3 linked regions of the Elephas maximus indicus genome follow. The main gene of each other region encodes a partner of the protein of the gene in region 3 in a complex. Links are inferred from orthologs where the notes say so. Each region holds a gene or a part of one and is shown on either strand. Other genes may lie near its edges. The genes, in order: MYBL2, LIN52 and RBL1.

Region 1 (3,747 bases), about 6.8 Mb from region 3:
CTGTCACTCCCCAATAAATAAATCTATTCCCCCCATGCACTTAAGAAGCCCATGCACTTGGCAACCATTAATTGACCTTCTTTCTCTATAGACCAGTTTTGTTTTTTGAAGCGCATAAAACTGAAAACCACATGTCTATAGAAATAAAATGAAAAATTAACTAGTAGCATTTTCTTCAAAGGAGTTTTATACCACAATTACATGACATGGTGGACTATCACATTAAAATACGTATGTTGACAGGAGAAGCCAGGCACAAAATAATATATACTACATATCGAACCCTCGGAAACCCTGGTGGCATAATGGTTAAGTGCTACGGCTGCTAACCAAGAGGTCGGCAGTTCAAATCTGCCAGGCACTCCTTGGAAACTCTACGGGGCAGTTCTACTCTGTCCTATAGGGTCACTATGAGTCAGAATTGACTGGACAGCAGAGGGTTTTTACATATCGAACCCAGTAACTGCTCCTCAGGAGAAAGATGTAGCAGTTGGCTTCTGTAAACTTTACAGTCTTAGAAACCTTAGGGGGCAGTTCTCTGTCCTAAGGGTCGCTACAAGCCAGAATTGACAGCACACAACAACTTTTACAGGAGATTGCCACTTCTTTCTCCCTTGAAGCTACTGGGCAGGTTCAAACTGCCAACCTTTGGGGTAGCAGCCGAGCACTTTAACTGTTGTGCCACCAGGGCTCCTCTACTGCAAAGTAGGAGGCAATACATCTACAAGACACTGTAACAGAATGACGCTGGCTTTAAAATGAACTGCCCCAGACTCATCACTTAGGGGACGCTAAGCTTCTGCTGAAAGTGTTCGAAAAATTTGGGAACGGATAATGGTGATGGTTAAACAACATGACGAATGTAATTAACGTCACTGAATTGTACCTAAAAAAATGTTGAAATGACAAATGTTTTCTTACATACATATTTTCCATAATTAAAAAAATACATACAGGACAAAAAAAGCCCAACTGCCCTCAGACTCCTCACTGACAGAAACATCTACTTCTAACAGAAGCTCAGCCAACGTGTCTTCAGGGAGAAAAGGGTGCCTGTGTGGACACTCTTCTGGTGTGTCAAGGCTCTGTTAAATGCGGACATCTCAGACAGCTGGGAGAACCTAGTGAGGTATATCCATCATCCACATAGTGCTGGCCATCTACTCCCCAGGCACTGTCATTATCCCCATTTAATAGGTGTGGAAACTGAGGCTCACAGGGTTCACTTTCCACGTCCACACAGCTAGGCCCAGGACCTCAACTCTGCACCTTTAAGTCCTCACCTTTAAGTCCTCACCTGTAAATCCCAGCTAAAAAAGCAGAGGCCAAGTTAATGGTGGCAACTGCTTTCCCTGCAACACACCCTTTCTTTTGCCCTTCAATGTGCTGGGCTCTGCTCCAGGGCCAGGGTGAGTCAGAGGCTGAGCAGGAACTGGGACACTGGGGCAGAGGAGAGTTACAGTGAGTGGCCAAGAAATAAGTTGAGGGTTTGGGGTTCCAGGGTACAGGCCCCATCCCTAACATGGGAGGGGTCCCTCCACTTAGCCCCAGGGGAGAACTGGTGGAAAACCTGGGGATCAGAGGACCTGGACATCATGTGGGGGCAGCCATCACTGGAGTAACACTTCCAAGGGACCTGAGCTGCCCTGGTAAACTGGCCTGAGGAAGACAGTCCCTGTGGCAGGACTACGGGCCCTGAGGACCAAACCTGAGCATACTTCTGCATTGAGAAGGACTCGGGAAAGCTGGCAGTTATGGAGTCACAGGTCTACATCTTCGGCCTGAGAAGGCAAACACCACCATCTGAAGAGGGGCCTGGGGTTATCTGGGCTGCTGGTATCCAGGGAGGGAAGAGGGCAGGACCCCACTGTTCTCCATGACTCCCAGAGCTCAGGCCCCAAATGAAGGGGCACTGGGGCCCACAGACTTGGCTCCAGGATCGACTCTGCCACTTAATTCTCTGGGGACTAAGTAAAATGGAGACCACAGCCCCTGACTTTGCCCCAGGGGCCAGTGGCACAGAGCAGTCTTGATACATACACCTCAGTCTCTCTTTCCCCCACCTTCAATTTCAGCTCCAAAACTCCTAGGGTAGAACACAAAGAGAGCTCTCCAAAACTAAACCAAGCTGGGGCACAGAGCCCAGGCTGGGGAGACAAAAGAGCCCCCTCCCCAGCACCCTTCTCAGACGGAGGGAGGGGGCTTAGAGGGCTTGAAGTGCTGTGCTTCCCCGAATGTTGGGGGAAAAGGCCCAAGGGGGAAGTCTGAACCAAAACTGAGGCTTGAACGACAAGTGTCTTTCAGGCTTTGGCCTCCTACTCGTCGTGAGTTGGGGAGACATTTTCCCTCCCCGGGGGGCACCTCCCTCCCCCTGTAAAGGCCCTTCCAGCTGACACCGGCCGTCCCACCCCCACACCGCAATTAGGCGGGAGACAAAATGACATCATGCAGGGCCTGGCCCGGGCCCCGGGAGACCCGCCCGCCCCGGCTCAGACACCGAGCAGGCCAGGGGAGCGGAGCGAGGGGTCCCAAGGGACCCATGGCTTTATGCGCGCGCCCCTGCCTCGGGCCGCCCAGGACACAGCATTTCCTGAGGAACCCCCCAGACGCCCCGCGCGAAGGGGCCACGGCGAGGTGGAGTGGAACGAGGTGTGGGTGGCGGTGGGGGTGGAAAGGGGGTAGGAAGGGCCCTCAGCCCACCCAGCTCCGCTCACCCGCGCGTCCGCCGAGACATCCCCCCAAGTCGCGCTGCGCCCGCCGGCTCGCCAGCTGAGCCCGGAGCCGGAGCCGCAGCCGGGCCGAGGCCGGGGCCAGGACACTAGCTGCTCCGGCCGCTCCGGGCCCCGGGCCGCGCTAGGTTCGGTCAGCGTGTCCTCAGGTTCCGCCGTCCGCGCGCTGGAGCTACGGCCGCGGCCGGCGCGCACAGAAGCACTTTCCTATCTCGCGCCAAGCGCGTCGGCGCCTCCCGGGCCTGGCGCGCGGGCGGGCAGACGTGCGCAGGGGCGGGGCCTGGGCGGGGCCTGTGTGGGGCCTGGGCGGGGCCAGCGGGGGCGGGGCTGGCGCTGCACAGGCCCAGAGGTTCCATGATGACAGGGGCCGCGGTGGCGACTTAGGAGATGGGACTTGTGAGCACCATATGACTGAGCGGGTTCAAGTCAAGTATTGGTCTGGGACGGCCCACACAGCAAGGACTGTCAAAAAGGAGTGAGGGGCAAGGATGGAAAAGTCAGGCTGGGAAAACCACCTGTGCAAAAACCCCAGGGCTAGTCGAAGCCTCGCTTCTCCGGGTCGCTACAGCCCCGCCCTAAAATGGCCCCCTTAATCCTACCTGTACCTTCCTGCTTTCTCTGCAGCCTCGAATTGGCGGCCCGAGTGACACTTCTGAAATACAAACTTCACTTAGTCTCTCCTGAACTTAAGACCCTTTCTTCTCTCCCTCGGGATAAATTCCTTCCTACACAATCAGGCTCATAGCCTCTGCCTGAATCATCACCCACCCCACCCCACCCCCGCTGAAAGAAGTTTCCTGCCTCCTTGCCTTTGCTTGCACTATTACCCCTCCCACCTAATTCTTACTTATCCTTGAAGTCGGCTGTCCATAACCAGCTGTTGACTTGTGCATTTCCTCCTTTAAACTTTGAGCATCTTGGAGTCCAAAAGGCCTCTGAATCCACCCCAGTATCCCTAGAGCCCAGACAAGGCCTAGCATAGGAGGTCCCAGGTATGTCTGTTGAGTTGAATTCTATT
Region 2 (3,747 bases), on a different chromosome or scaffold from region 3:
GAGACATCATCTCACATACTTTGGACATGTTATCAGGAGGGACCAATCCCTGGAGAAGGACATCAGGCTTGGTAAAGTTGAGGGTCAGTAAAAAAAAGAGGAAGACCCTCAATGAGACAGACTGACACAGGAGCTGCAACAGTGGCCTCAAAGATGGCAGTGACTGTGAGGATGGCACAGGACTGTGTAGTGTTTTGTTCTACTGTATATAGCGTCACTATGAGTAGGAACCGGCTGGATGGCACCTAACAACAACAACAAATGTATGTACAAATACATACACACACATATATAATATTTTTAAACATGTACTTTTCTCTAAACCAAATATTTTCGGGGAATTTCTGATGGTATTGTAATTGGTAAAGAGCTCAAATGTAATGAATTGCCTTAACTAAAGCATCCAGAAATGGTTTAAAAAAAAAAAGCTGTAACACAAAATGCAAACTTTCAAATTCCCAAAAACATTATTAATGGGAAGCTCAACCACAATAAAATAAACTTATTGGCGGTGGGTTCCACAATAATCAAAGGTGGTTTTATGACACTACAGTCTGTGGCATTATTCAGACTCTGCTGTGACTCTTACTTTCATAATAAGTAATTAAATGGCTTTATTTGGATTTCAACTTTCTTCTTTTCAAAGACTCAGCAAATGTATAACTTAAAAAGATGAAAGATTAAACAGTACATACTTATTTTCAAATCAGCATTATCTGAATTAAAATTTAAAGACAGAGACAGGTGGAACACTAAAAATAGAAATGAGAGAGCTGTAGGCAGTTGGATTTTTTTTGACGCAATGCTTATTTAGAAGCAGAATTTAAATTCAAAGTGTTCAACTTGATGTTGTCAGATTAAAAAGAAAAGGGCTGAAAAAGGTGGAATTCTGTAAGAAATCAGAATGGAAACTTGTAAAAATCAAGTAACCACAGAGATGGTTGGATGACCAAAGGGGGAAAAAAAAATTTCAAATACTCTTCCTGGCCTAAGAAAGAAAAAAATTAAGACAGGGAATTATCAAAAAAGGGACACAGCTCTGAAATCTCAAAAACGTATAAAAACAAGGTAGTAATAAACTAAAAATTTTAATAGCAATTATTTCTACTTCTATCGCTTAGCTGACTTTTTAAATGCCTCTCTTTTCTGGGAGAAGAAAGACATTTTAGCAAGAGAGCATCCAGGCAGGAGATTCTCTTCTGACCCATAATTTCTTATACAATAGGTACCTGTGCTCAAAAACATACGATTTTCCACCAGGTAATGTATTATTTATGCATACATATAATCATTCAATAAGTATCAATTGAAGGCTTACCGACTGCCAAGCACTGTGCTAAAAACCCTGGGATACCACTGTGAATAAAACTGAGTTGTCATTTATAATTCAGCGAGAAAGAGGAAAATTAACAGAGTAACTATGTTGACAATGAAGGATGAAGTATACTGAGGTGCTGAATAATGGTGGAGAGGGGCAACTCCACATACTGCGGTCTAGGAAAACCTCTCTGAGAAGGGACATCTACGATGACACCTGAAACTGAAAAAGTGTTTACATGTTTCGTTCATCTTTTTTGTCTCCCAAAGAATCTAACATTGTGCCTTTCATATTGTAGATACCCGACATACTTTCTCTCCTGGCCTCAATTTTCTCATTCTTAATATCATGAACTTCCAAGATTCCTTCCAAACACAATGTGTTTGTGAGAGAGGGAAAAACTACATCTCAGTGAAATCGGCGGTAAAAGCAAAAATGAAGTGAGTTAAAAATCTCTGCAAGAACGTGAATTTACGTAAGTGTAGGAGGGACAATTCAGAAAAGGAGGATGAGAACGGCTGCACAATTTGAAGAATGTAATCGGTGTCACTGAACTGCCCATGTTGAAATTGCTGAATTGGTATACGTGTTGTTGCGTATATTTTCAACAACAACAACAAATCACTGCAAGACCCTAACTCTCTTAAGCAGAACCAACGCAAAAGCATGTGGGTATGAAAAAACCACAAAACTGCTACCTGAGATGACCTGCATCTTAGACAACACATAAACAGAAACAACTGTTCATTTACTCGGCGTGAGGAACCAATAATACCTACAGATGAAGAGAGGCTGCGACGTGTGCAAAACCACACCAAATAGCTCAATTCGCATTCTCCTCAGGACTTTAATGGCGAGGGGCCAAGAAGGTCCCCGGCTTTTCTTGCCACCGGAGCAACTGTCCCAATCTGAGGGAACGGGAGAGAATCACGTTTCTCTTTTGCGACTCAGTCCCGGGATGAGGTCAGCTACCAACCCCACCTAGGGCTTCAGAGACTCGCTCGGGATGCTCAATGAGAAGAGAACCGACCCTTCAATGGGGTGCCCCGAGAAAACTACAGTAAAAGGTACCTCTCCTCGGCCCTCAGCCTCACCCGCATAGAGCTAATGGAGAGCCGGAGCGACCCCGCCCTTCTGCGGGGAAACTGGCACCTCCGGAGCCTCGGTGAAGAACCGGCGAGCTGACGAAAGGGACGCATCCCAAGGAAAAGAAGTAGTAAAGTAAAAGAGAGGGGCCCAAGAAAGAAGTGTAAATTCTAAGGGCAGACGGACAGTGGAAATTCTCAGGAGCAATGAAAGAGGTAGGTGGCAGGCGGAGACTCTAAGCCGGCTCTTACCGTCTGTGGGAGACGCCATCTTCCAACCCATGTCACGTGACGTGGCCAACCGTCGGCGGGAAAGCAGGAGTCCCCAAGCCCCGCCCCGAACGGGGAACCCTATCCCCAACTCGCGGCCGGGTCTTGTTTCGCCGCCGCGTAGGGCGATCTTTGCCTAGCCCCGCCCCCTCGGTGCTAGCCACACCCCCTAACGCTGTTGTTGAGGAGGGGCGACTACAAAGTTCTTGGAAGATCTTATTTACCTTCCTCAGTGAGGGGAGGGGGCGGCCCGTGGTCATGCCTGTGGCCAATCGGAGTTCCGGATTAGGGGGCGTCTCCTTTTAGAGCGCCCAAGTCACGGGGGCGTCTTCCCTACATCCGCCAATAGAATTTGCTGAGGTGGGAGGGGGCAAGAGCTCTTCCACTTCTGCCAATCACACATCCCCAGCTGGGAATGAGGGCGACTGATTGGCTAAGGGGAATGGTCTTCTCTGCAAATGAAGAGGTCCGGCAGGATGGAGGGGCGGGTCCTGGCAGCGGCGGCGCTGCTGGGGACCTCTGAGGCAGTAGTGGCGAAGAGGCGGCGAGGAGCCATGGCGGCGGTGGTAGCAGCGGCAGCAGTGCGGGCCCGGATCCTGCAGGCGAGTGAGGGTGCCGCCGAGGGATCGCGAAGCTAGGAATTGGATCCTTTCCGCGCACGCTCTAAGCCAACCTCGGGTGGGACCGTTTTCCTGGCCGAGACCCCTCTTGACTGACCCTGGAGTTCACACCCGACCCGTACGGCCCTGTCCTCCCCACCCCTCACTTTGTACTCTCCCTTGTCCCAGATCCAGCCCTGGGCCAACACCCCTGGCCCATCACCCCCTGGGCCGTCACCCCTGGGCTATCACCCCCGGCCTCGCCGCTTTACAGCGGAGCCTCCGCTTCTCTGGCCCCGCCCCTCCCTGCCTTCACTCTTGTTCTCATCTCTTTCGGTGCACCCACCAGGTACGTAGTGTACACTTCTAGGAGATTGAAAGTTCATTCTGTGACCCTTGCCCCAGGTTTCAGTGAATTCTACTGCAGAAACGATTGCATTTTGAAGATTCTTGACAGAGTCAGCAAAGGTTCATG
Region 3 (3,747 bases):
AGATTGGGGTTGAGAGGTAAGCACTGTTTGCATACTAGCTTTGATCAAGCTACTGTACAATGCAATGCTACAAAGTGAGCAACCCTCTCCTCCAACCTAGTGAGGCAGAAGGTAGAGAGGTTAACCCTTTCAAGACCCAATTACTTTCTCCTTTGAATTTTTTGTTGATACTATGTGCTTTCACTGATGAAGGCATGCTGATTAAAGGATCAATTCAGAATTTTTGTTATGAGTTATGAATTTTGATACCCATTATCTGGGATCCCAGTATCCCAGCTGCCCCTGGAAGACACTAATTCTACCACTATGAGTCAATAATAAAATCTTTTTTTTTTTTAATTTCTTGAAAATTTGCAAAACATGAGGTAAAACATGAAAGCACATGGTAATGACTGCACACACATTTTATTCTAGTCTCACTTTTCTTAGCCTTTGTCGGGGATTGAATTGTGTCCTCCCAAAATATCTGTCAACTTGGGTAGGTCATGATTCCCAGTATTGTATGATTGTCTACCATTCTGTCATCTGATATGATTTCCCTGTGCTGTAAATGCTATCACTATGATGTAATGAGATGGATTAGCCGCAGTTATATTGATGAGATCTCCAAGATTAGATAGTGTCATAAGCCATTTTCTTTTGAGATATAAAAGAGAAACCAAAGAGACATGGGGACCTCATACCACCAAGAAGGAGCATGAGCAGCAGAGCTTATCCTTTGGACCCAAGGTTCCCACACAGAGAAGCTCCTAGGCCACAGGAAAATTCATGACAAGGACCTTCCTCCAGAGTCAACAAAGAAAGCCTTCCCTTGGAGCTGGCGCCCTGCATTTGGACTTTTAGCCTACTAACTGTGAGAAAATAAATTTCTCTTTGTTAAAGCCATCCGCTTGTGGTATAGCAGCACTAGATGACCAAGACGACCTTTTTATTATTTTTCATGAAATTTTTCAAAACATGAACAATGCATTCTTCCTTACTGCAAAAGCAGTATTTACAGCCCAGATAAATAAAACCAAGGGATTTTTTTTAATCTCAGGAAAATTATCACTACAATGCTTTCTTCCTTATGGCAAAAGCAGTGCTTAGAATAAAAATAAAGGGATTTGAATCTCAGGAAAATTACTGCTAATATGTATGCTTCATTATAACAAACATAGTACGAACAGCTAAGCAGCAGAAACAGCTGCCCTAGAATACAGCAGAACTGCTCACCCTGATGCATTCCATCTGCTACACAGGGAAGCAATTACTGTGCCCTGGAATTGAATACAGGGTGAGAATAACTTATAGGAGTTCCAATCAATCTCTTGAAAAGTACCACTGTCATGTTTTACTCCTTATTGGAAAAGCATTATTTACTGTTCAGAAGCTGGAAAAGAAGGGAACCAGTAACACCTGGAAACAACGAATGGCATAAAGGAGAAAATGGCCACTATGACTAAATGAAGACTGGCAAGAGTTTATTCTCAAGAGAACACAGTAACGGGGAAACACAGTGAAGACGCTTAATTCACAGAAATAAAAGCAAATCTGTCAGAAGTTTTAAAATTTCACACATCTGAAATTATCTACACAAAAATGAGGCTCCCACTCAGGATTTTCGAGTTTCACACATTTCAAAAGGCTCTCACCTTGAGGCTAACACATTAAAATCGGGCTACTCCCTTTCCAAAGAACTCCAGAGGCATAAAAAGTGAGTGGGACACATCATGTCCCACGGGTCTTGGAAGGGTTTTAAAAAGCTGACTCCAATATCTGGCTCCACTAATAGCCCTGTGACGTTGGACACCTCTTTGGCGCTCAGATTTCTCAACTGTGAAATGGGATCAGAGAACGTTTTCAGAGGGTTGTGGAGAGAACTGAGATGGCATATTTAAAGCCCTGAGCAGTATCTTGGAACGCGAATTCACTAAAAAAATTTTTTTTTTTTTTTTTTACCGTATTTGTTTTTACAAATGTACGGGCGGTACCTTTGCGTGTGTGACGCTTGGCGGGCTGGAGGGAGGTCAGGTGTGGAAGCCACGGGTCTAGAAGACCCCTGACTGAAATGTGACCTTGGACAAGCCGCTCCTTTTCTGGGTTTGTTTCCCGCTTCAAAAACTGGGTGGGCTGACTGAGCTACACCCGCCCCTTCAGCTCTGCACTTATTGGCGCCCGGCTGGCAGCGACCCTTCTCGGCGGGGAACTCCCACCACCCCAAAGAGTAGCGGCGGGGCGGGGCGGGGCGGGGGTGGGGCCTGGCCGCTGGCTCACTGCGCCGAGGGTCCGGTCCGGCCGCCCCACCTGCGGCCGCTCACCTCTAGGCTGTAGTTGCCCCGGATGGCGGTGAAGTCGTCCAGGGCTTTGGCCGCGCTCCCCTCGTCCAGGTTCAGCTCTTGGCATAGGGCCTGAAGTGCTTCCCCGGCCGCGGCGACCACCGCCGCCCCCTCCGCGTGGGCCTCGTCCTCGAACATCCCCTCAGGCCCTGCGGGTGGCGCGGTCGCAGCCCCCCGACTCCAACCTCCTTCCCGGGCGCGCTACCCACAACCACCCGCGCCAAAGCGCGCGAAAATCAGCGACACTTTAGCGACGCCTTCTCCATCGTCTCCCTCCGCTTTTCTCTTCAAAAAAGTCCATTTCCTCTCCTGAGCTCCCAGCCACCTTCTCTAGAAATGGGATAACAAAACGGATCTTGGGTCCTGGAAAAATTGTACTTGGCCCTTGAAGGGCAGCGGTGGGCCAGCCAGGGCGGCAAATAGAGAGCGGGGGGGGGGGGGGTCTGCAGCCAGCGCGCGAAGCCTACTGGGAGTTGTAGTCCGCATCCTGCCCTGAAGCTGGCGGCACCGCTCTTACCGGTTTGGGAGGGGTTGGGGTGACATTTATTTAGCGAGAAGCGTCCTCTGCCCCGCCAGTCTTATCAGCCCTGTCTCTGTTGGTGTCCAGAGGCGCCAAACAGCCCATCTTTGACTGAGCTTAGGCACTTGAATTGCGAGATGGAGGCAGTGCCTCCTGGGATGTCTCCAGTGTTGGATGAATGTGCTCTAGACTATCACAGGGCTGGTGAGGCAAGTATATTAAGGGGTATCTCCCCATTCATCATTAAGGAGTCCCTTTTTCAGCTCTCTAGACTTTGGGAACTTTCTCAATAAAGACAGCCATTTCAGGCTTAGGAATACTCTTCAGGTCTTAGAGCTTATCCTTCTGTTCCAACAAAACTTCAGGAAAAGCCAGAGTGATCTTTTTAAAAGGTAAATCAGAGCATGGCACTCCTTTGATTAATATCATTCTGCGAATACCTTTGCTTAAGATAATACCCAAGCTCCTTTCCGTGGCCCACAAGGCCCTATGTAACCTGGCCCGCCTCATCTAGTGCCTTGTACTTCCAGCTTCACTTTGTTTTGGACTCTGGAAAATGCCAAGCTAGTTCTTGCCTCAAAAGGTCTTTCTCATATGCTGACCAAACTGCCTGTCAGCTTTTTGCTTACCTGGCTCCTCTTCACTTCAGTTCAATTAAGTGTCACTTTCTCAGTCCATCCCTGAGCTCTGTGTCTAAAGTAGCTGACTTTCCTTCCTCCCCATACCCTGTTTCATTATCTTCATAGCACCTTATCACTATCTGAAATGATCTTACTTGTTTATTGACCAGCTCTTCCTACTGAAATCTGAGCTGCATGAGAGCAAAAACTTTTATGTTTATCACTGTCGATCCAATATTTAGATTAGTGGTAGGCACTCAGTATTGAAAAAATTACAAAGAGCCCAGTG

The links.
Region 1: RBL1 (region 3) and MYBL2 share a complex: the UniProt entries of both Homo sapiens proteins name them as parts of the DREAM complex. The link is inferred for Elephas maximus indicus from reciprocal best matches to the Homo sapiens genes RBL1 and MYBL2.
Region 2: RBL1 (region 3) and LIN52 share a complex: the UniProt entries of both Homo sapiens proteins name them as parts of the DREAM complex. The link is inferred for Elephas maximus indicus from reciprocal best matches to the Homo sapiens genes RBL1 and LIN52.

Annotation. Positions count from the first base shown.
Region 1 is NC_064843.1:25,661,505-25,665,251, forward strand, and holds the start of MYBL2 (myb-related protein B), read right to left. Parts: upstream 2,940-3,747; 5' UTR 2,735-2,939; coding exon 2,715-2,734; intron 1-2,714. UniProt on the Homo sapiens protein: Transcription factor involved in the regulation of cell survival, proliferation, and differentiation. Transactivates the expression of the CLU gene.
Region 2 is NC_064828.1:86,792,260-86,796,006, reverse strand, and holds the start of LIN52 (protein lin-52 homolog), read right to left. Parts: upstream 2,782-3,747; 5' UTR 2,687-2,781; coding exon 2,656-2,686; intron 1-2,655. Other genes in the region: ALDH6A1 (methylmalonate-semialdehyde dehydrogenase [acylating], mitochondrial), read left to right, coding at 3,228-3,275, 3,462-3,621.
Region 3 is NC_064843.1:32,492,702-32,496,448, reverse strand, and holds the start of RBL1 (retinoblastoma-like protein 1), read right to left. Parts: upstream 2,697-3,747; 5' UTR 2,457-2,696; coding exon 2,301-2,456; intron 1-2,300. UniProt on the Homo sapiens protein: Key regulator of entry into cell division. Directly involved in heterochromatin formation by maintaining overall chromatin structure and, in particular, that of constitutive heterochromatin by stabilizing histone methylation.